Linked DNA regions of Mus musculus. The protein of the gene in region 2 binds, or shares a complex with, the protein of the main gene of each other region. Links are inferred from orthologs where the notes say so. Each region holds a gene or a part of one and is shown on either strand. Other genes may lie near its edges. The genes, in order: Vgll4, Irf2bp2, Zbtb16 and Irf2.

Region 1 (4,730 bases), on a different chromosome or scaffold from region 2:
GGGATCAATTGGAAGCATAAAGCAGGATGCAGTGGTTAGCTGTGGGGCGTGGTGGTAAGAGGCCATGAGGCTTCTGAGCTTATTCACCAACACAAGCAAGTCTACTAAGTCACTCATCATTAGCATAGAAACTGGTTCTCACGAGTTAGACAGATCTTCTGTTTCAATACCTCAGACTCCCCAGAACCAGCACTGGGGTATCTGCTTCCCTTTATTGGCCTTTCAATCCTCCTCCGAAGTGACTATGAAGGCAGGCATCAGGATGGGGTTGCCATGCAGGGAGCAGCCCCAGCCATTTAGAACAGGTCTGGGTACATGGGGCACCTCCGTGGGAGAAAGTGGATTTAGCAGAAGATAATGTAGGCTCTGGTCCAAGACCTCAAGGAGGTCAGGCAACCCAGAGTGGATTCAAAAGTAAGATGCAGGGGTTCTTGTGTGCTACAGGGTAGGCGCTGGCCCATCCTCGTGGCGGCCGCTGAGAGAAGGAAGGCAGTGAGGACACAGTTCCCCTGACACATCCAGGGTTGTCGTTGCACCAACCTGGACAAGCGAAGCTTCCCACCTACACCTTCACTACTAAAGCCAATGGGACAAACACTGAGTCTGTCCCCTGCTGACAGGCAGGACACTGGCCTGTGCCCCAGATGAAATCAAATGCCACCTACCCCCGTCCACACGTGTTCCACACCACTGCCCTGGCACGCTGGAGGGCTGGCAGGTTCAATGCAAACAATTGCAGCGTACCTCATTTAAACTGTACCAACTTCTCCTCTGCTTTGTTTGTTTGTTTGTTTGTTTGTTTGTTTGAGACAGGCTGTCTATAGAGCCCTGGCTGTCCTCACTATAGACTGGCCTGGAGTGTAGACTGGCTAGCCTGGAACTCATAGAGATCCACCTGCCTCTGCCTCCTCTGGGCTGGGATTAAAGGCATGCACCTCCAGGCTTAGCTGTGTTCGCACTGTTTACAGGAGAGAACGCCATGTATGATTGGTACCCATCCTTCCACACAGCCCTCGCAGTGGAGACCAGATGTGTGTGGTGTTTACAGCGAGGAAACCAGAGGACATAAACAACTGGCTCTGAGCACTACTCAGGTTTTGCTGCGCTTTTCTTAATTTCCTGTGTATTTATTTTGGTGTTAGAATAATATTACCTTTCATAATAAGGAAAACAGGAGCAGATGTTTAAACTAAACAGATGATAGCCTGGGATCCCACGCATCCACTCGGCTCTCAGCTTCTAGGTCTGCTCTTCCAAACATCGAAGGAAACAGGACAGCTAACTGTTGGCATTTGTGCTTTCTGTGGAACCACACACCCACCTGGGGGAGCTGCAGAACTTCCTCCTGGGACACAAGGAAGGAACCACTGTCCTAGCAGCCTCTACGTGCCTCACCCGGGCCAGCCAGGCACTCTGTTTTGTTTTTTAAAGATTATTTGTTGACAAAGAAATCACATTAAAAGTTTTGAGCTTTCGATGTGGATTCTTTTTTTCTTTTCTTTTTTTTTTTTTTTTTTTAAAGACAATGCATGAATCCCAGCAGAAATCGCGTCTGGTGGCTTCTGGAGAATCCAGCCTTTGAGACGAGAGGGTTTGGAAGCTGAGAAGCTGAGGTGCTTTTTATATGTAGAGGAAACTTGTCAAAGTAAAGTGATATCTTATTTTTAAAAAGGCAAAACAACAACAAAACCCCTTTAAATGAGATTTTTCCCCCATAAAGTTAATTTTAAAGCAGGCTTGAGAGAGAAAGGGTATGTTTTCAACAACTTAAGAAGCAGATCTTAAACTTTTACACGAACACAACCAACTCTGCTCCCTCTTTTAACTTCTGTTCAAGACAAAGCAGACAACTCTCTAGGATTACTAGGTGAGAGACCCCAGAGCCTGCTGCCCACAGCAGGAAGACACCAGGAAAGACTCCCGGCAGCCCCAGGTCTCTCCCTGCCCGGCCAGTGCCACAACTCAGCCCCATTACCCTGGTCTCAAATCGCACGTAGGTAAGATTCCAAAAGATGGGATTGGGGTTTTCTCCAGAGAAGCTTAACTTACTACAGGGAGTGCCCAGGGGAAGGGGAGGTGATGGGCAAATCTAGGGGTGGGGGTATTTTCCACTTTCTTCAGCCTTCCGGCTGCTTATGGTGTAATTGCCAGGGACTGGGGTTGGAGGGAGCCTGTCTCACTGTCAGCTCTCTGCACAGGAAATGGGGCGGCAGACAAAGAGCCCGGCCTGGGCTCCCTGACACCAGGCCCTGCCAGTCCCACAAACCTCACAGGAAAAAAACCCCTTGATGCCTGAGACAATGGCTCAGGAAAACAACAACTTACTGTGGCTTTCTGCTGTTGTTCCTCTACCACATGAAATTCAGAGCAAGGGTCCACACCGAACACTGTACACGGTGATACGTTTAAAAATAAGTCCCAAGGCCCCTCCCCTCTACTCCAGCACCCACATGTTTAACTTCTCCTTACTTCTGTAAATTCCTACTTATGCATAAAATGCCAACAAAATCAAAAGAGAAAAATCACTTATAATGTAACGATCTTGTCAGACCTTGCTAGTACATCACAAGTAAACTTTTAACAGCGTGTCTCCTCCAGCCCTCCCCGGCTGCCACCCTCCTGCCGGGCAAAAGCGAACTGTCCTGAAATGGTACACAACTCTCTTTCCACTCGCTCCACCATCACAAGAAAGACAAGAAAATGTTCATAAGCCAGTCAAAGCCCCCCTCCAAAGGAGGAGTGGCCATCACAAAAGCAAAGAGTACATTCTAGAACATCTACCTTCATAGCACAGAACGCCGATATTGTTGTTCATCTTGTCCAAGTATTGGTAGTTCAACAGGTCCATCTTCATAAACAGCATTTATCTGTCCGGCTAGCAAAGAAAAACAGTTCTTTGCTTTCACCCCCAAAGAGAAAGTTTCAAAATTCAGTCTTAGCTGAGTAGCTCCAGGCTCTCCTAAAACTTCAGGAAGACAGAGGCCCAGCCTCAGGAGATCAAAACAAAGTATGTAAAAGGTTTTTAAAAATCATACACACACACACACACACACAAAAATCAGACTCAAACAAAACCCGTCAAGGGCTTGTGGAAGGTGTCTGATTGTGTCTTCTATTCGGCTTTAAAAAATCATTTCAGAAGACTTCTCGAGCCCGTCTTGGGGGTTTAAAAAGAAAGCAGTAAAAAAGAAAAACACAAAGCACATTTCTCAGGACAAAGGCACTCTCCCTCACAGCCCGCTGCAAGCTGACTGCACTGACATGCGGGCTATGCTTGGTATGACTCGTATGTAAACCAGCTTCCTCTGCTTTTGGGAGGGGGTAGAGGGCTGCTGTGAGCATGCTCACTGGAGCCTCGGCTCAGGCTCCAGGCGCTGCAGAATTAGCAGGAAGCAGAAAGAGGCGGGGGCAGTGAGGCACAGGGGGTGAGGAGAGCCTTTCCTCCCCGGAGCCAGAGGCCGGCAGAGGCAGAGGCCGAGGAAGTAAACCCCAGCAAGTTTGTGGGTGTTTTGTTTGTGGGGGAGGCTAAGCACAAAGTTTAAAAAAGAAAATCTGCTGTGGAAGCAAAGTACAGGGAATTTAACTTTCCGTGACTTCGTTGCAAGGGCTGGGAATCCAGGGCTTCCACAGGGGTGTGCTCTGTTTGGTACAAGGTTTCTTTGTTTCTTTGTAAGATGGGTTTATTAAGTCCAGGGACACAGCGAGTGTTTACATTTTCTTTTTTTTTTTTTTTTTTTTTTTTTTTTAAAGATTTTATTTATTTATTTATTATATGTAAGTACATTGTAGCTGTCTTCAGGTCTCATTATGGGTGGTTGTGAGCCACCATGTGGTTGCTGGGATTTGAACTCAGGACCTCTGGAAGAACAATCAGTGCTCTTAACCGCTGAGCCATCTCTCCAGCCCGAGTGTTTACATTTTCAAAGTCAATGTTACATGTAACTTCCTTCCTAAACTCTGTAGCTGTACAGATGGACAGGACACCAGAGGCAAATCCGTCCTCAGAAGAGTAAACAGATCTGGGGACAAGTGAGTGGCCTACAGGTCTCTCTCTCCCTCTCTCCCTCCCTCTCTCTCTCTCTCTCTCTCTCTCTCTCTCTCTCTCTCTCTCTGTGTCTGTCTGTCTCTCTCTCTCGCTCTCTCTCTGTCTCTCTGTCTCTCTGTCTCTGTCTCTCTCTCTCTCTCTCTCTCTCTCTCACACACACACACACACACAAACACACACACACACACACACAAACGGGGGAGTGGGGAGCTGGCTGGAGAGGTGGTTCCGAGCACTGGCCACTTTTGCAGAACACTTGAGTTCAGTACCCAGCACTCATAAGCACCTGTAACTCTATTTCCATGGAACCTGACTCCCTCTTCTGGCCTCCATGGGTACCGCATGCAATGACACACAGACATTGGAAAAAAAAAATGTACAAAAAAAAAAAAATACTTTTTAAAAATCTGTTTTCCAAACTCATCTGGGAGGTTGTGACCAATCATGGAAACTTTAAAAATGTTCCAAGTTCAAATCCAGAGCAGTGCTGAGCTTCATCAGCATCATGGAAGAAAGGAAAAGACCTGCTCTAAGTGACTCTGCTGCAGCCTGGCAGAGTGGCACCAGCCTGTAATTCTAGCAGTCGGAATCCGAGGGAGAGGAACTGCCACAAGTTCCAAGACCTCTCTGGGCTACTGTCAGCTCTGTCACACCTTCCCAAGACTTCATTACAGTCACTTATTTT
Region 2 (4,775 bases):
TAGAAACACAATGTATTCAAAAAAAATCAAAATTATACAGCCATGTTATGAAGTCTACATTTCCCTTGTCTTGGATATATATATTTATATTTATATATATATATATATGTATGGAGATCTATATACAGTTCAACAAGTTTGAGTTAAGGGTAACCATGGGCTTTTCTGAACGCAGAAAGTCACGAGTCTCTCTCCTTCTTCACTTTCACATCTCCGGCGAGGATGGTAGCAATCTCTCCTTGCATGAAGGCCCAGGGGACATTGGAGCCCACCAGAGGACACTTCTCTCCACTTGGGCAATAGACCTCTCCGCTAGCGCCCTGCTGTTTAATGCTTTGTCTGGAGCAAGGGAAACAGAACTTGTGCGAAGGGACAGACGGGCACTGCACAAAGTGAGTATCCTCCAGCCGCTCGTGGCAGAGGGTGCAGCACAGGGGGGCGCTGGCTGCCAGAGAGGAGTCTGGGAGGCTGGCAGGGTGCACCGGCTCCAGTCCTCCGGTGCTGCCGGTGGCCTGGCCCCCCACCTCTCTGGGGCCAAGCCTTCTTTGGTTCATAGAGGAGGGAGAGGGCGGGCTGCTGCTGTTCCTCCTGGTGGTGGAGTGAACCTGGGTGGCATCTTTTGAGGCGTGACTGCCCCCGGCATTGTCTGCTACTAAAATCAGGGCTGCCATTGGGGACTGGCCATTCTGGGCCGCTTCAGGCGGTGTGGTCCGGTTGGAATGAGGAGAGGCAGTAGGGGGTGGTGGAGACACAAAAGAGGATGTAGGGGTGATGGGGATCTTGAGCCCTTCTGTGGAAGTGGACAGCCAAGGCTGTGTCTCACCATTGATCTTAGGGGGCCCGACTTCCCCTTCCGGTTCTGGGGAAGGCTTCCTTTTCCTTGCTGTCCTTGCAACTGGAAAGAGACAGGTATGGAAGAAAAGGAAGATTAACTTTAACGTACCCCCAAAGAGACAGCTCTCATCTTCAAAAACACACATAGTTCTGCACGCAGCTTCAAACATTTCCCCTAATAAAGGGCTCTGAGCCTGCACACCACCTCCAAGGTAAGCCAAGTCATGGGATCCTGCCTGAAAGGCTCCAACCCCAGACCAGCTCATGTGACTGCATTTAGCAGACAGGTTAAAGGGTGACTGCTGCCCTCACGCTTCCATCCAAGAATGTGCTGGGAAAGGAAAACCCCGTGTCGCTGCCTATCAACCCGTTCTGACTCATCCCTGTTGTGCTGGTTCAGCAGAGGGACCACGTTGCCACTAAGCTCTGGTTCAGCCCCGGGCCGACCAGGAAGTTGGCTGTTTGTTGTTTCTGGATTAAGGCAAAACTGTGCATGGAAGAATGGATCCCTACCACCCACCCACCCACCCACCCACCCACGCGCACACACGCACGCGCGCGCGCGCACACACACACACACACACACACACACACGGGTGGGCGGGCGCTCAAACGCTGCCTCTAACCCCACGCCCTCCATCCCTTCTCCCCTCGCCCCGCAGTCGCCCCTACCTGCTTTAGACCCGTTGGCCCCGTTGGCCTCGAAACCCAACAACCTGCCTGCTGCAGTCAGAGCCGGCTCCTTCTTGAACTTGCTCTCGAAGGGCCCCGAGTGGCCGTGCTGGTGCAGCGCCAGGAGCGTGTCCCGCACCGTCTTAGGCCTGCTGGCCCAGTCCTGCTCCCCGGGCGCGCGGCCTTTGCCTGCACCCTCGGCGCTCAGCTCGCTGGCCCCGGCCGCGCTGGATAAGCTGTCGGCCGGACTCCGGTGCGCGGGCTGCGCCTTCTCCTTGCTCGGCTCGCGCGCCTCGTGCTCCGCCGCCGCGCTCGACACAGACGCCGGGCGTTTGTGGGTGCCCAACTCGGCGGGCTGAGCTCCCAGGCCCGGTGTTCCGCTCACCGCGGCCAGTGTGGCCGCAGCACGGCCGCTCAACCCCAGCGCGGCAGAACCGTTGACCAGAGGCACCAGAGTGGGCGGAACGGCGTGTGCACGCCGAGGGTTCGGGCTCTGGCGATTCAGCTCCGGCGGCTCCTCCAGTTTGGAGAACCCGTTGGGCACCAGGATGCCGTTCGCCGGCGCGGACTGCTGCGCGGCCGACTGTGGGAGGCCTGCACCCGCACGCGTGCTGAAGTCGGAGGCCAGGCGCGGGGCACGATCCGGCGCCAGCGGGTAGCGCTCCATAGCCTGAGCGCGCGCGGCCTCGGCGCCCGCGTGGCCCAGCTGCGGCGGCGGCTGCAGCAGTAGGTCCTTGGCCGACAGTGGCGGTGGCTTGGCGGCTGCGGGCTGTGCACCGGTCGGGGAGCGGCCCTCCGGGAAGCAGCCGTGAGCACGCTTCAGCTGGCGGGCCGTCTCGATGACGAACTCCACGCGGTCGGCTCCCTCGTAGTTGACGCAGCCGCGGCACACGGGCTCCGTGAAGTCCCAGATCATGGCCCAGGGCATGCGGGGCAGGTCACACAGATAGCACGACTGGCGCCGAGAGGCGGCCGCCACCGCCACCGCCGCGGCCATGTCCGCACAGCCCGCCGCGCCGCAGGAGGAGCCGGGTGAGGGGACGCCGCCGCCCCCCGTGGATCCCGCGCGCGCGCGCCGGCCGGCCCAAGCCCGCGTCTGCGCGACTAGCGGCGGCGGCGGCCGCAGGCGAGGAGGCGGCGGCGGCAGAGCCCGGGCCGGCGCGGCGCCCGCGCGGCGCCCCCGGGGCACGAGGGGCGGCGGGCGCGCGGCGGGGCGCGCCTGCAGGTCCCCACGGGCGGCGGGGCGGCGCGGCGCGCGCGGGGGCGGCGGCTCGGCCGGGGCCGCGGGCTGGGGCCTCCAGACCGGGGCAAAGACGGGCCGCGAGCGCAGCAGGTCGCGCTGGCGCCCGGGGCGCAGAGCCGCGCGAGGTACGGGGGACGCGGGGCAGCCGCCGGGGCAGCTCAGCCCGAGCGGCGGGGCATGCCGCGCGCGGCGGCGTGCAGCTCGGTCCCGGGCCCCGGCGCGGCCGCTGCACAGCACCCACTGCGCCTCAGCTCCTGCGCCGCCGCTGTTGCTGCTGCTACCGCCGCGGCCGCTCCACTTCTACAGACTTGATTCTTCGACAGCTCTGCACGGCGCCTGCGCGGCCCCCTCCCTCCCTGGCGCGCGCGGCCCCGTGCGCCCGCCCTCCTTCCCTCCCTCCCTCCCTCTGCGCTCTCTCGCGCGCCACCCTGGATTCTTCCGTTTCTCGATCGCGTGCGCGCCGGGACTGAGGCGCAGACCAGTTCACGCGGCCCTAGCGCCGCAGGTGTGCAGCTCGCGTCCCCAAGAGTCCCGTGTCACCCCGCCTACCCAGCCAGGATGCTCCAACCCATGGCCCTGTTCTTTCGATTAAATCGTGCAAACTGTTTTATTTTACATGCAATGCCACTTTATCACTTGGTTACTGGCAGCCTCCTGAGCATGGAATTTGGAGCATAGCGAGGCGCACTTTGGACTTTTCCTTGTTAGCGTCTCACTTGGCTTCAGCTGGGCGCGCGCACGCTATCAACACTCTGCCCTGTTTTGGTCGAGGAAGCAACTACACACTGCCGCTGCCCCTTTAAGTTTTACAAAAACTTAGTGCTCAGGCAGGCCCGGCCTCTTTTGCGCGTGCACTGAAAGGAGGACGCACAGGCCCGAGGCTCCTCAGGCGCCGCCGCCCAGCGTCTTATGTAGGTCTGTGCAGCGAGCGCGTGACGTGGGCAAGGGACGCTGCCACTGCGCAAACTCCACATAAGACGTGCCCAGCGCCGCGGGCCCTGGGGCCGCGCCGAGCTAGTGCACATTCCAGGGATCTGGGCTCTGCAGCGCACCGCGTCACGGCTCAGGACCCGCCCCCGGTCTCTGGCTAGTAGGCCCTGCCCCACCGCCTCCGCGGGGCCGAACTTCGAGTGGCCAACTCTGGGCGCGCGCTGTCCCCTTTGCGCCTAGGGCGTGCGCTGGCGGGTGGACTTGGCTGTCTGTTGTACCATCCGGCTTAGCCCAGTGGGCACAGACGCGCCTGGCAGCATCGCTTCGTTGTTCCCTTCCACGCTGGGCAGTGAGGGCTGCCCAGAGTGGACGGAACACCGAATTGTACACTTTGGTAGGGAGCAGGGACTGGTGTGTGCTGTCAGTGGTCGGTCAGTCAGGCTCTGATTTGAGACCTACTACTCTGAGTAAGAGCCGCTTTTGCTTTTGTGGTGAACAACGCAGGTCCACCTCTCTCCCCAAGATTGGAATGGGCTGGTTAAGTGTGGGAAGAGCAGGGTACTAAGTACATTAGCTTTCCTACAACTGGATTGGAAGGTGGAAAGGGAGGGGGGAAAAATCTGCTGACCTTTTTTTCTCCGGTGGCTGCTATTGAAAAATGCCAGGTTGCTTCAAAGAATAGCCACAAGAGGAAACACGCCCCACAGAGAAGCAGCCCAGAGAGCTGTTTAGAGCACAAGAATAAACCTGTTGGAGGTGGCACAGAAAGCTTAGCGCCAGATGCCAAGGGCGTCCACAGGCTAACCTTGAACGTCTCTCTCGGGGCTTTCCAGAGAAGGTACATCTGTGTCAAGGGCCTCCCCAGCTCCCCTTCCAGTCACAAGCCTGCCTCACCCTCTCCAAGCCTGGAATGGGGCCTACCCGGATCCATTCCCAGAAGCAGCTGGTGCCAGCTGGTTTGGGCACCTGCTCCAGGACCTGTCAGTCTGGTCACTCTCTTCCAAGACCCTGTGTCACTCATCTGAGCACGTGATTTTGACCGTGCAGAACCTGAGTGGAGGAGATGAAGCTGCCCTGACTGCAGAGTCATCTCAGT
Region 3 (4,234 bases), on a different chromosome or scaffold from region 2:
TATTTCTTTTTAACTGGCAATTGTAGAACCTTAAGCCACTCAGATGCAGAGCTGGCCATGTGGGGATTTTATTTTCCCTTTTCCCTCCTAGAGCCCAGCTCCTGCACAAAACCTCTGGCCTCATCTTGTCTCCACCTTCCTCCTGTAGTAGCACAAAAGCCAGTCGTTCTCTCCCAGCTTCCAGCCACTTGAGACCATCCACGCCTTGGATGTGTATGGAGGTGCTGCCCACTAGGCTGTTGGACACGTGGCACCTACCTGTCTCCCGTCAGTTTGAGTTGCTATAACATGGAACCATAGACTGGATGATTCATATCTAGAAATGAATCTCTCCCGGTCCTGAAGGGGTGGGCAGTCTGAGATGGGGATTCCAGCACGGCTGGCTTCCTGGGATGCCCTTCTTCCTAGCTGTAGACTGCAGACTTCTGACTGTGTCTTGTGTTCTGACCTTGAAAAAGGATCTTTTCATCTTGTTGAGGAGGGCTCCACCCTTGTAATAAAAGACTTTGTTAAGCCTGAATCTGGTAATACCATCCCCTTGGGGGTAATGATTTTTAACATACTCAGTTTTGCAGTGGGGAAGGGGACATCTAGACCTTTACAGCACTCCAGCCCTGTGGCCCCGCTTTGCCTGTGGGATGCCTTCCATCTATGCTGTCTGTCCTCTGTGATCTGACCTCCCCAGTTTGCCAGGCTTGTCTCCATCCTCTGTGCTACCTCCTCTGAAATCCGTTTGCAGCTCACTCTTAGCCATTTTCTTTTACCCCTGGCTTCTCAGATGCACCCCGTTTCTCGGAGCTGAACTCAAAATCTCTGAAGCTCCGTTGGAGCCACCCTTTCTTATCTATGCTCTGGATGGTATTTCTTGACCAGGCTTGGTATCCAGCTTCTCTACTCCATCTCAGCCTCTTCTTGGTCACTTGGTAATGGAGTAAGACAGGTAAACGGACACAAAGCAAATTCAGGCCATTCTGTGAGATGCAGGTGGCCCAGGAGAGCAGCTTCTAAGCACTTTGGGAATAGCAAGGGGACAGGATGCCACTCAGTGTGCTCTGCTAGGTGGCATATTTCAGGGTATCCTCCTGGAGTGACATTCATTCACTGTCCAAGTCCATACTGGGGATCTCAGAGTAAGAATTAAAAATGTTGGCTGGTAGAAGCATGCCTGTTCAGGAAACAAGCTCGCTCGGTCTGAGCACCTAGCCTAGTTAGGCTTTCTGTGGGATAGAGTTCAGGGTAAAGCGGGAATAGGTGCTGAAAACCTATGACACTGGACTGTGGTGCTGTGTGCATTAGAACTTGTTTGTGGGTGGAATCTGCTCTTGCTTACCGGGCTGGACTGGACACTGCAGGACTCAGTGTCAGAGCTTGTAGCTGCTTCTGCCCAATGGACTACCTCTTTCGTGGATGTCCTCCTGCATCGGATGGGACTCTCTTACTGGCTCCTTCCTGTGGATCTTGGGTTTGGAAAGTTTAAGTTACCTGTGTCCAATGACCTGCCTCTGACTGTGCTTCCCGGGCCATTTCTAGAGTGATCCCAGCATGCTTTGGTGCTTGCTCCTTACTGTCTAGGGGAAGCCCAGATAGACAGATATGTCCCAAATGAGGTTCAGAAGCTAGGAAGTGACTCAGTTGGGTACACTGACTGATGAGCAAGCATGAGGACTTGCATTTGGATGCCCAGCACTCACATAACAGCCAGGCATGGCTTCCTGTGCCTGTAATTTCCCCCTGCAGGTAACAGGGACAAGCCAATCCCACAGCTCCCTGGCCAACTAGTCTACCCAAAACTACAAGATTCAGTGAAAGGTCCTGTCTTAATAAAATAGATGGAGAGCCATCCTGAGGTTAATAACCTCTGGCCTTCAAACACCCCATCACACACGTACACCCTACAAAGGTACATGGCACACATACTAAAGACTCTAAAATAAGTGGGATTCAGTTGGTGGTTTCTACAATCAAATGGACCAAGGCATTTTCTAGATTCCCAGCTCTACCTCTTTCTCACTGTGTGACCTTAGGCAAGTTATTTAATCTCTATTTTTCTCTTTGGAAGAAGGTGGCAACAATGCCTGCCCATTAGGGATGCGTGTTTTAAATGAGATGACAGCACAGATAAAGCACCTAGTGGAAATGGTGGTCTTTAGTGTCCTCTCCCTTCTGCTCTCAGACCTTTGGAGGACACCAGGGGTTCTTCCTCCGTGCAGCCCTCCCAGCTGTTGGTTGATGAAGCAAGCATGACCACAGGTAGCTAGAATGCAGTGTCTGCAAAGAGAGGAGCCAACGGGTAATTGTGTGGTGGTCCTTGCCACAGCTCCTTGCCCAACATTTTGGATTCCCTATCTCTAACAACATCAGCTACCAACGCAAGCCCATATGCTTTTCTCTCTGCCCATATTTGGGTGGCATGGCCTGTGCTCAGTCCCACAGTGCTGTCTCTTGTGCAAGTGACACCAGTGGAAAAGGGAGGTCCTTGCCTTTTATTCCAGACCAAGCTACATGTGGTCCTGAGGAGGCAAGACCCAGCCCTCCCATTTGCTGTAGCCATTGCTAGTCAGGGAGGCAGCAAAACTCTTCCCGTTCCTTTCTCTCTCACCTGGCCCGAAGAGCTTCCTTATGCCCCACTGAGCAGCCTGAGACTTTCAGTAGCCCAAATGCTCTGGTGCTCCTTCCTCTTTGCACTCAACTGTCAGACCTTGACCTGATCAGCTTTGAGTTGAGTCTCAACTGGAAGGCTGTGTCAGGAAGGTGTTGAGGGATGGAAGATAGCAGCCTGCCTTTGCGGGCTTCAGTAGGCACCTAGGCTACTGGGCCAGCCGAGCAAGTGACCAGGTAGAACTGAATGAATATTTCATGTGACTCACTAGTTGGAAATCCTTTAACAACTTCTTGTTGGTCTGAGGATGAACCCCTGGGCTTTGTAGTATGGCTGGTCAGGACCCACGTGATCTGGCTCCTGGCTCCTGGCTCTTCTTTCTTTGTATGTTCTCCCTGCTTCTAACGTTAGGACTGGTCACTGTGCTCAACCTGGTGTGGCTCTCCCTGAATGCTCACAGACTCGGTTCCAATCTCCATGCACTGGGTGCTGGGTGCTACTGAGATCAGAACAGGGACTAGTATACTCTTCCCCAGCCTTTCATCCCCAGAACCCCAGAGAGAGTCTCCCTTCTAGGAAGTATCACAGTACAATAGAATGAAATGACTCTCACCAATGCCTGAATTTTTTTTTAAGATGGGAGAGTGGTTATAAGAATATAGTCACCAGTGGTGGTGGTGGTGGTAGTGGCTCACACCTTTAATAGCAGCGCTCAGGATGCAGAAGCAGGCAGATCTTTGAGTTTAAGGCCAGCCCTTGTCTACAGATAGAGTTCTAGGACAGCCAGGACTACACAGAGAAATCCTGTCTAGGGGGTTGGGGTGGGGCACTGATCTAGAGCTAACCCAAGGGAATAAATGAATGAATCCTTTTACTGCTCCCAGTTGGGAATCCAATGGCAATTGGGGTGGGTTAATCTCCCCGTGTTTCTTTCTCCTTACATGAGGTTTGTGGTTTTCAGTGAGTTATGTCACAACAGTGGCCAGCTCGTGTGATCCAGGTTATTGTTGGTTCACACAGAATTTCCCGTCTCCCCACTGCTGCCTCAGACTCTGTAAGGTCCCCGAGTTCACTCCCTTAGTCACCTGCATTGCGTTCAAACCTCTTGCAGAGATGCATCTACGTTACCATCCACATGGTTTTGTATCTTTCTCCCCAAACCTTTAGGTCTCGTGGAGGTCGGGCACCCGTTGGAGCTACATTCAGGGTGCTCACGGACTGGACTGTGGGCTTTAGGATCTCTAGGGGGCAGCGCTGGGTCTTCAGGGGTGAAAATCTGGCCTTGGGTCTCTCCGTTGCTGAGGCTCTCCCGTTGCTGTCTCCCACAGGCACGGACATGGCTGTCTTCTGTCTGCTGTGTGGGAAACGCTTTCAGGCACAAAGCGCACTCCAGCAGCACATGGAGGTCCACGCAGGCGTGCGCAGCTATATTTGCAGTGAGTGCAACCGCACCTTCCCCAGCCACACGGCTCTCAAGCGCCACCTTCGCTCACATACAGGTAGGCTGGTCCAGGGGATGGGTGGGGAGCATCTCTGGACCTTATCTCTGGGCTTCACCTCCAAAAATATATGGTGTGTATGAGTGCAGGGGGAGGGTGTTTCAGGTTGCGGCATTCTCTGCTTGAAGTTAGACGC
Region 4 (4,752 bases), about 80 Mb from region 2:
AGGTAATTACTGGATTTATTTTTGGTTGTTGTCAGCTCACAGCTAGAATGCAACTTCTGTAGAACTTGAAGAGGCTATCTGTCCTTCACGGTTCTAGTTGGGTTCACAGAGCCTGCCACTGTGTCTGGTAGTTCATGGCCCACAAATATTTGTCAAATATATAAATAAGTTCTCCAGATTGCGCTAAGGCCTGTTTGGCAGGAGGCAGATAAGGGATCTGCAATAAAATTCCCGGTGTAGTTCAGTAGTCTATTTGCCATTAAAAAAGGGGGTGGGGTGGGGGGAAAGCTGGAAAAGAGGATCCAGATTTTACCGAATAAAGCTGAGATTAAAAGAGTGGTGCACTTGGATATGTGAGGAAATCAATGTGCGTCAAGGGACTATCCAAAGTTTCAAGTCTTCCACTCTTAGATTTAAACAGCTTTCACTCGCTCTGGTATATTAAATATTTACTTAATAAAGTATTTCAGGAGCCCATAGTTCCTAGAGCCTTCAGGACTTCATGTCAATTTCTCTTTTGCCTCAATTTGCTTCCAATTTGATTACAAGTCCTCTTTTTTTGTTTCATGAAGATGCCATTTTTACAGGTTAAGTCATTCTGAAACACGTGCAACTCTTCCTAACTTTTGCAGGTCAAGGGGGGGAAAAAAGACCACTCATTGAGAATGAAATATGTAAGTGTTTAATTTTAAGAAGCAGTAACAAATCATAACAGGCAAGATCTCTTGGATCTAAGCACAAGACAAAATCTAACTTCTTACGCAACAAGCTAGGCTATAAATTATAATCATTCACCAATCACAGTGACGTTCCGGACTTTGCCCCATCAATCAATAGATGCTCCAACGTTACCCCTTAGAGATGCCAACTCAAGCCTGAAATATTCCATTTGCTTGAAGCTGCCTTAGAAAAGCCAAATGCCAAGCTTTTATTGGTTTCTATTTTTGTGACACACGCCACCCCACCCCCCAAAAAAGAATGAGAGTTGAGAAAAATCAGAGACTCCTGCACTTGGGCGAGTGATTAAGTTAAACAGGGCAACCTCTAGGGCTCTGCCCTAACCAAGCAGTGTGCATCTGTCTACCATGCAATCAACCACCTTCTAAAAACAGTAGGCTAAACAAACGGGTCCCTGCACCTGCCCTTAAGCACCTTAAGTGCAGGCTGCTAACTTCAAATGTTACTTGCAGTCAGTCGATATAAAAAAAAACAAAAACAAAAACAAAAACAACCAACAAACAAAACTAATAAATGACTTCAGGCATGACAACAAGCTCCCAAGCTCCCGTGATTCCTGAAAATGCACAACAGGAAATGTAACTGTCCTCCACCCTCAGGAGCCATTCATCAAGAGCAGCCCGGAGTCCCAGCCACAGGGAGGCGAGTGGCAGAAAGCTAACCCCAGGACTACTTTGCCTCCCTGGTACAGACACAACCAAGGAAGGACAAGGAGTGCCCACGCGGGAGGGAGGAGGGGACAAGAAACATGTCCCCCAAGTTTCAAACACACTGGGCTTAAGGACCTGCAAACCCGCTCGCAAACGAGTGACAAGGTGGCCTGCCAATCCCAGGGGTCTTATTTACATCCGACCACCAAGGATCTCGCCTCCACCGACTGATCCGGGCGTCTCACCTGGGGCCCGAGCACAGTCCTGGCTCGCGGCGGAGGCTACTAGCCTCCTTCCCTTCCCTGCTCCTAAGGGGCGAGGGACTGAGGGTGGCAAACGGTCCGAGAGCCGGGGCCCAGCGGACAGCGTCCGGGGAGCCGGGGCCCTGAGCTCTCGCGAAGGCTTCCCGGGCCGCTCAGGGGAGCCGGCCCCCAAGGCCGAGCGACAGGGACTAGCTGGGCACCGCGATTGGCCGCGGCCCGCATCGCTCGCCCAGAGAGCCGGGCCGGCGGGGCGGAGAGGAAGTGGTGGCTGCCGCTCTGCACCAACCATGTTCGGCCGGCGGGCGAATGTCACCCGGCGCCCGGAGCGGGTCGGAGGGCACAGGGCGGGCACTCATTCCCACCACGTCCCGGAGACCCCAAGCGTTCGTCAGCCTCACCCCCAACCCCATGCTAGCCCGCCGGGCGCCGCTCGGTCCCCGGAGGTTCCCCGCCCCCACACCTCGCCCGTTCCGTAGCCAAGGCGGGTCGGGGCCCAGCGCGCCAGGCCGGCCCCGGGGGCGCCCGCGGGGACCCGGAGGCACTCGCAGCTAGGCCGCGCCGGGGTGGGTGACCCCTGAGCGCGGAGCCCTCCGGGGACGCGCCTCCGAGGCGCCTCACGCGCTGGGACAAGTGCAGTGACAAAGCCCGGAGGCCAGGCCAGACGCTGGCCGGCGGGGAGGAGGACGCGACGTTCCTGGCGTGTGGCGGCGGCCCAGTCCCCAGGAAGCCGGGCGCGCCGGCCAGGCCCGCGCCCAGCCGCGCGCGGAGCCCGCCCGGCCCGAGTGTCCACTGGCACCAGACGCCGGTCACCCGACCCCAAGCCCCGCGGGCGAGCGCATCCTGGGACCGCCTTAGGGCAGCCTTCAAGTTTACAGTGGTCACTGCCCGGGCACGGGCATCTAGGGACCGCGGGTGCCAGTCTATTTACACCAGAGACCGCCGGGAAAGAAGGGCCGCTGGGCACCGAGAAGAACCCGGTTCCCTTCCTCGGACCTGGTGGCGACAGTGTCTGTAAACACTCATACACATACAACACACACACACACACACACACACCAATTTTATTTTAAATGAGGCCGGACTCCAACGGACCTGTACCCACAACACACGACACCTGGAGCGCAGAATCACACAGAGCAGATCTGTGTCCATGGAGCCACCTCTTCTCATCTGCAAATCCAAAAGTGAAATTAAACCTTCACTAACCTCCTCCTCCTCCCTCTCTACCTCCTCCTCTTTGCAGCCTCAGCAGCCCCAGTACCAGCGGCAACAGCAGCAGACCCCTGCTTCCCCTAAAATCAGATGATCCATAACTGCGCCGACTCTTCCTCCAAAAATCGGTATTAATATTTATGAACCCCGGCATTTTTCCGTCTGCAAAACATCGTGTCAAAGCATCAGGACGCACATACATACATAGCTCCTCCTGTCCCCGTCAACATGCCCTCGAGAGAAAACACACGCACAGCCACAACTATTATTTGAAAAAAAAAAATGTTACCTCTCAATGTGCTTTTTTTTTTCCACGCTACCAATACAATCCCGCAAGGTGTGAGTGTTGTTAGGGTGTGTAAAATGGAAATGAAAGCCCGTCAGTTGAATAATCGCAGGAGCAAAACTAAAAGTTAGTCCCCGGCTTGCCTGAGAACAGTCCAGATCGAAAGCAAAACAAGGAGAGGAAACTGCGAGGAGCCGAGGCTGGAAATCCCCCCCACCCCCGCCCTCTCCCGGCCCCGCTCCCTCCCTCGCTCCCCCTCCGCCCTCCTCCCTCCCCGCCCTTCCTCCCCAGTGTTTGTTTCAAGCTTGTGCAACCCGGAGGTGGAGGCAGAGGGAGGGCTCCAGCCGCCAGCCTGGAGGTGCGGAAGTTCGCCGCCGCTGTTCATTGGCGGCCGGCACGGCTTTCATCATTTCTCGGAAAAGTCAATTTCATTTTCACTTCCCCACGTCGCGGCTGCGGGGAGCAACAAGCGGCAGCGCGTGTGAGCGTGGGGATCGCGCCGAAGGGCGCGCGCTTTTCACCGGGGCCACGCTGGGACTGTGGGGCACCAGAAGTGGTGGACGGGGCGCTGGCTTGGGAGCTGGCCACCAGCTGGTGGTGGCCGTAGGGAAGGAAGGAGATGACCTGACTCTACATCCTACCTGAAGGGTGGAGATGGACCAGAGAGAGCCCCGGAAGCCTGGGGACCCTTCCCGACCTGTGGCTTAAGTGCTCAGAACCGCTGTGCACAGGCTGCATATACAAACTCATCTTGGAAAGTCGCCCGCTGCAAAGGAATGTAAGGAACGAAGTCAGCTGAAAAGACGGCATTACTTGTGCCCCTACTTTATTGGATCTCCTACTGGGGAACGGGGGGGGGGGGGGGGTTTGAGGGGGGTTGAAGGGCCAGCCTGGCACTCAGTGTGGAAGCTAGGATGGTTAGGAAGGCCTTCCCCTAGAAAGTCACTCTCCAAAGTTACTTCATGTCTTTGCCATAACCGGTCCAGTTCCTGCAAAATGCAAGGGTTTGAGTTACATGAACTTAAACTGTCTTGATTGGGACTGAACCTGGAGGGAACGCTGCCTGTTAACTCCTAAATTTGGCTGTCCTTATTGGTTGAACATCCTTGGCTGCTGTCCTCTGTGCTGTTCCGTGGAGACAATACTGAATGCAAGAAGAGGGCCCAGTACCTATGACAGGTGCAGCGGCCTATGGGCTCTACTAGGCCAGCTCGCTTGGAACCTCTTGCTGTTTGGTCACTTAACTTTAAAAGTATTCCCTTACATTTAGTTACACCTGCTTCTTGCCTGGCTTACAGTTTCCTCAGCCCACCACCTGCCTTCTCTAACCACTGGGGAAAGCATCCCACCCTAGGAGACTGTCACTATCTATGTGTAAACATCTGAAAAATAATTCTACCTCCTCTTTGCCATAGAATTAGTGGATTCCACAGACAGGGATAAAGGAAAGTATGCATGCCCTTGTAGAAGGAGAGCAGTGAGATTAAGGACCCTGTCTTGTGGCCTCAAAATAGATCCTTCCTGCACAGTGTCCTTTATTTCTCCCATAATAACACTGCACACTCCTTGCATTTATATTTCATATATCAGTAACCACAGGGAT

The links.
Region 1: the proteins of Irf2bp2 (region 2) and Vgll4 are in contact, whole or in part, in a crystal structure (PDB 8YTF), measured with the Homo sapiens proteins. The link is inferred for Mus musculus from reciprocal best matches to the Homo sapiens genes IRF2BP2 and VGLL4. Residues at the interface, in NP_892017.2 of Homo sapiens: Thr516, His517, Phe518, Val519, Gln520, Pro522, Phe531, Leu557, Trp564, Ala565, Phe566, Met567, Glu570, Thr573, Ile574; in NP_055482.2 of Homo sapiens: Arg161, Ser163, Val164, Ile165, Thr166.
Region 3: the proteins of Irf2bp2 (region 2) and Zbtb16 are in contact, whole or in part, in a crystal structure (PDB 8YTH), measured with the Homo sapiens proteins. The link is inferred for Mus musculus from reciprocal best matches to the Homo sapiens genes IRF2BP2 and ZBTB16. Residues at the interface, in NP_892017.2 of Homo sapiens: Thr516, His517, Phe518, Val519, Gln520, Pro522, Phe531, Leu557, Trp564, Ala565, Phe566, Met567, Glu570, Thr573, Ile574; in NP_001018011.1 of Homo sapiens: Arg285, Ser287, Val288, Ile289, Thr290, Ser291.
Region 4: the proteins of Irf2bp2 (region 2) and Irf2 are in contact, whole or in part, in a crystal structure (PDB 8YTG), measured with the Homo sapiens proteins. The link is inferred for Mus musculus from reciprocal best matches to the Homo sapiens genes IRF2BP2 and IRF2. Residues at the interface, in NP_892017.2 of Homo sapiens: His517, Phe518, Val519, Gln520, Pro522, Phe531, Leu557, Trp564, Ala565, Phe566, Met567, Glu570, Thr573, Ile574; in NP_002190.2 of Homo sapiens: Arg331, Ala332, Ser333, Val334, Ile335, Lys336.

Annotation. Positions count from the first base shown.
Region 1 is NC_000072.6:114,918,536-114,923,265, forward strand, and holds the start of Vgll4 (transcription cofactor vestigial-like protein 4), read right to left. Parts: upstream 3,287-4,730; 5' UTR 2,864-3,286; coding exon 2,782-2,863; intron 1-2,781. UniProt on the Homo sapiens protein: May act as a specific coactivator for the mammalian TEFs.
Region 2 is NC_000074.6:126,590,934-126,595,708, forward strand, and holds the start of Irf2bp2 (interferon regulatory factor 2-binding protein 2), read right to left. Parts: upstream 3,054-4,775; 5' UTR 2,504-3,053; coding exon 1,507-2,503; intron 896-1,506; coding exon 180-895; 3' UTR 1-179. UniProt on the Homo sapiens protein: Acts as a transcriptional corepressor in a IRF2-dependent manner; this repression is not mediated by histone deacetylase activities. Represses the NFAT1-dependent transactivation of NFAT-responsive promoters.
Region 3 is NC_000075.6:48,665,019-48,669,252, reverse strand, and holds part of Zbtb16 (zinc finger and BTB domain-containing protein 16), read left to right. Parts: intron 1-3,927; coding exon 3,928-4,098; intron 4,099-4,234. UniProt on the Homo sapiens protein: Acts as a transcriptional repressor. Transcriptional repression may be mediated through recruitment of histone deacetylases to target promoters. May play a role in myeloid maturation and in the development and/or maintenance of other differentiated tissues.
Region 4 is NC_000074.6:46,738,337-46,743,088, reverse strand, and holds the start of Irf2 (interferon regulatory factor 2), read right to left. Parts: upstream 3,345-4,752; 5' UTR 3,153-3,344; intron 3,142-3,152; exon of another isoform or gene 2,858-3,141; intron 2,841-2,857; exon of another isoform or gene 2,822-2,840; coding exon of another isoform or gene 2,744-2,821; exon of another isoform or gene 1,634-2,743; intron 1-1,633. UniProt on the Homo sapiens protein: Specifically binds to the upstream regulatory region of type I IFN and IFN-inducible MHC class I genes (the interferon consensus sequence (ICS)) and represses those genes. Also acts as an activator for several genes including H4 and IL7.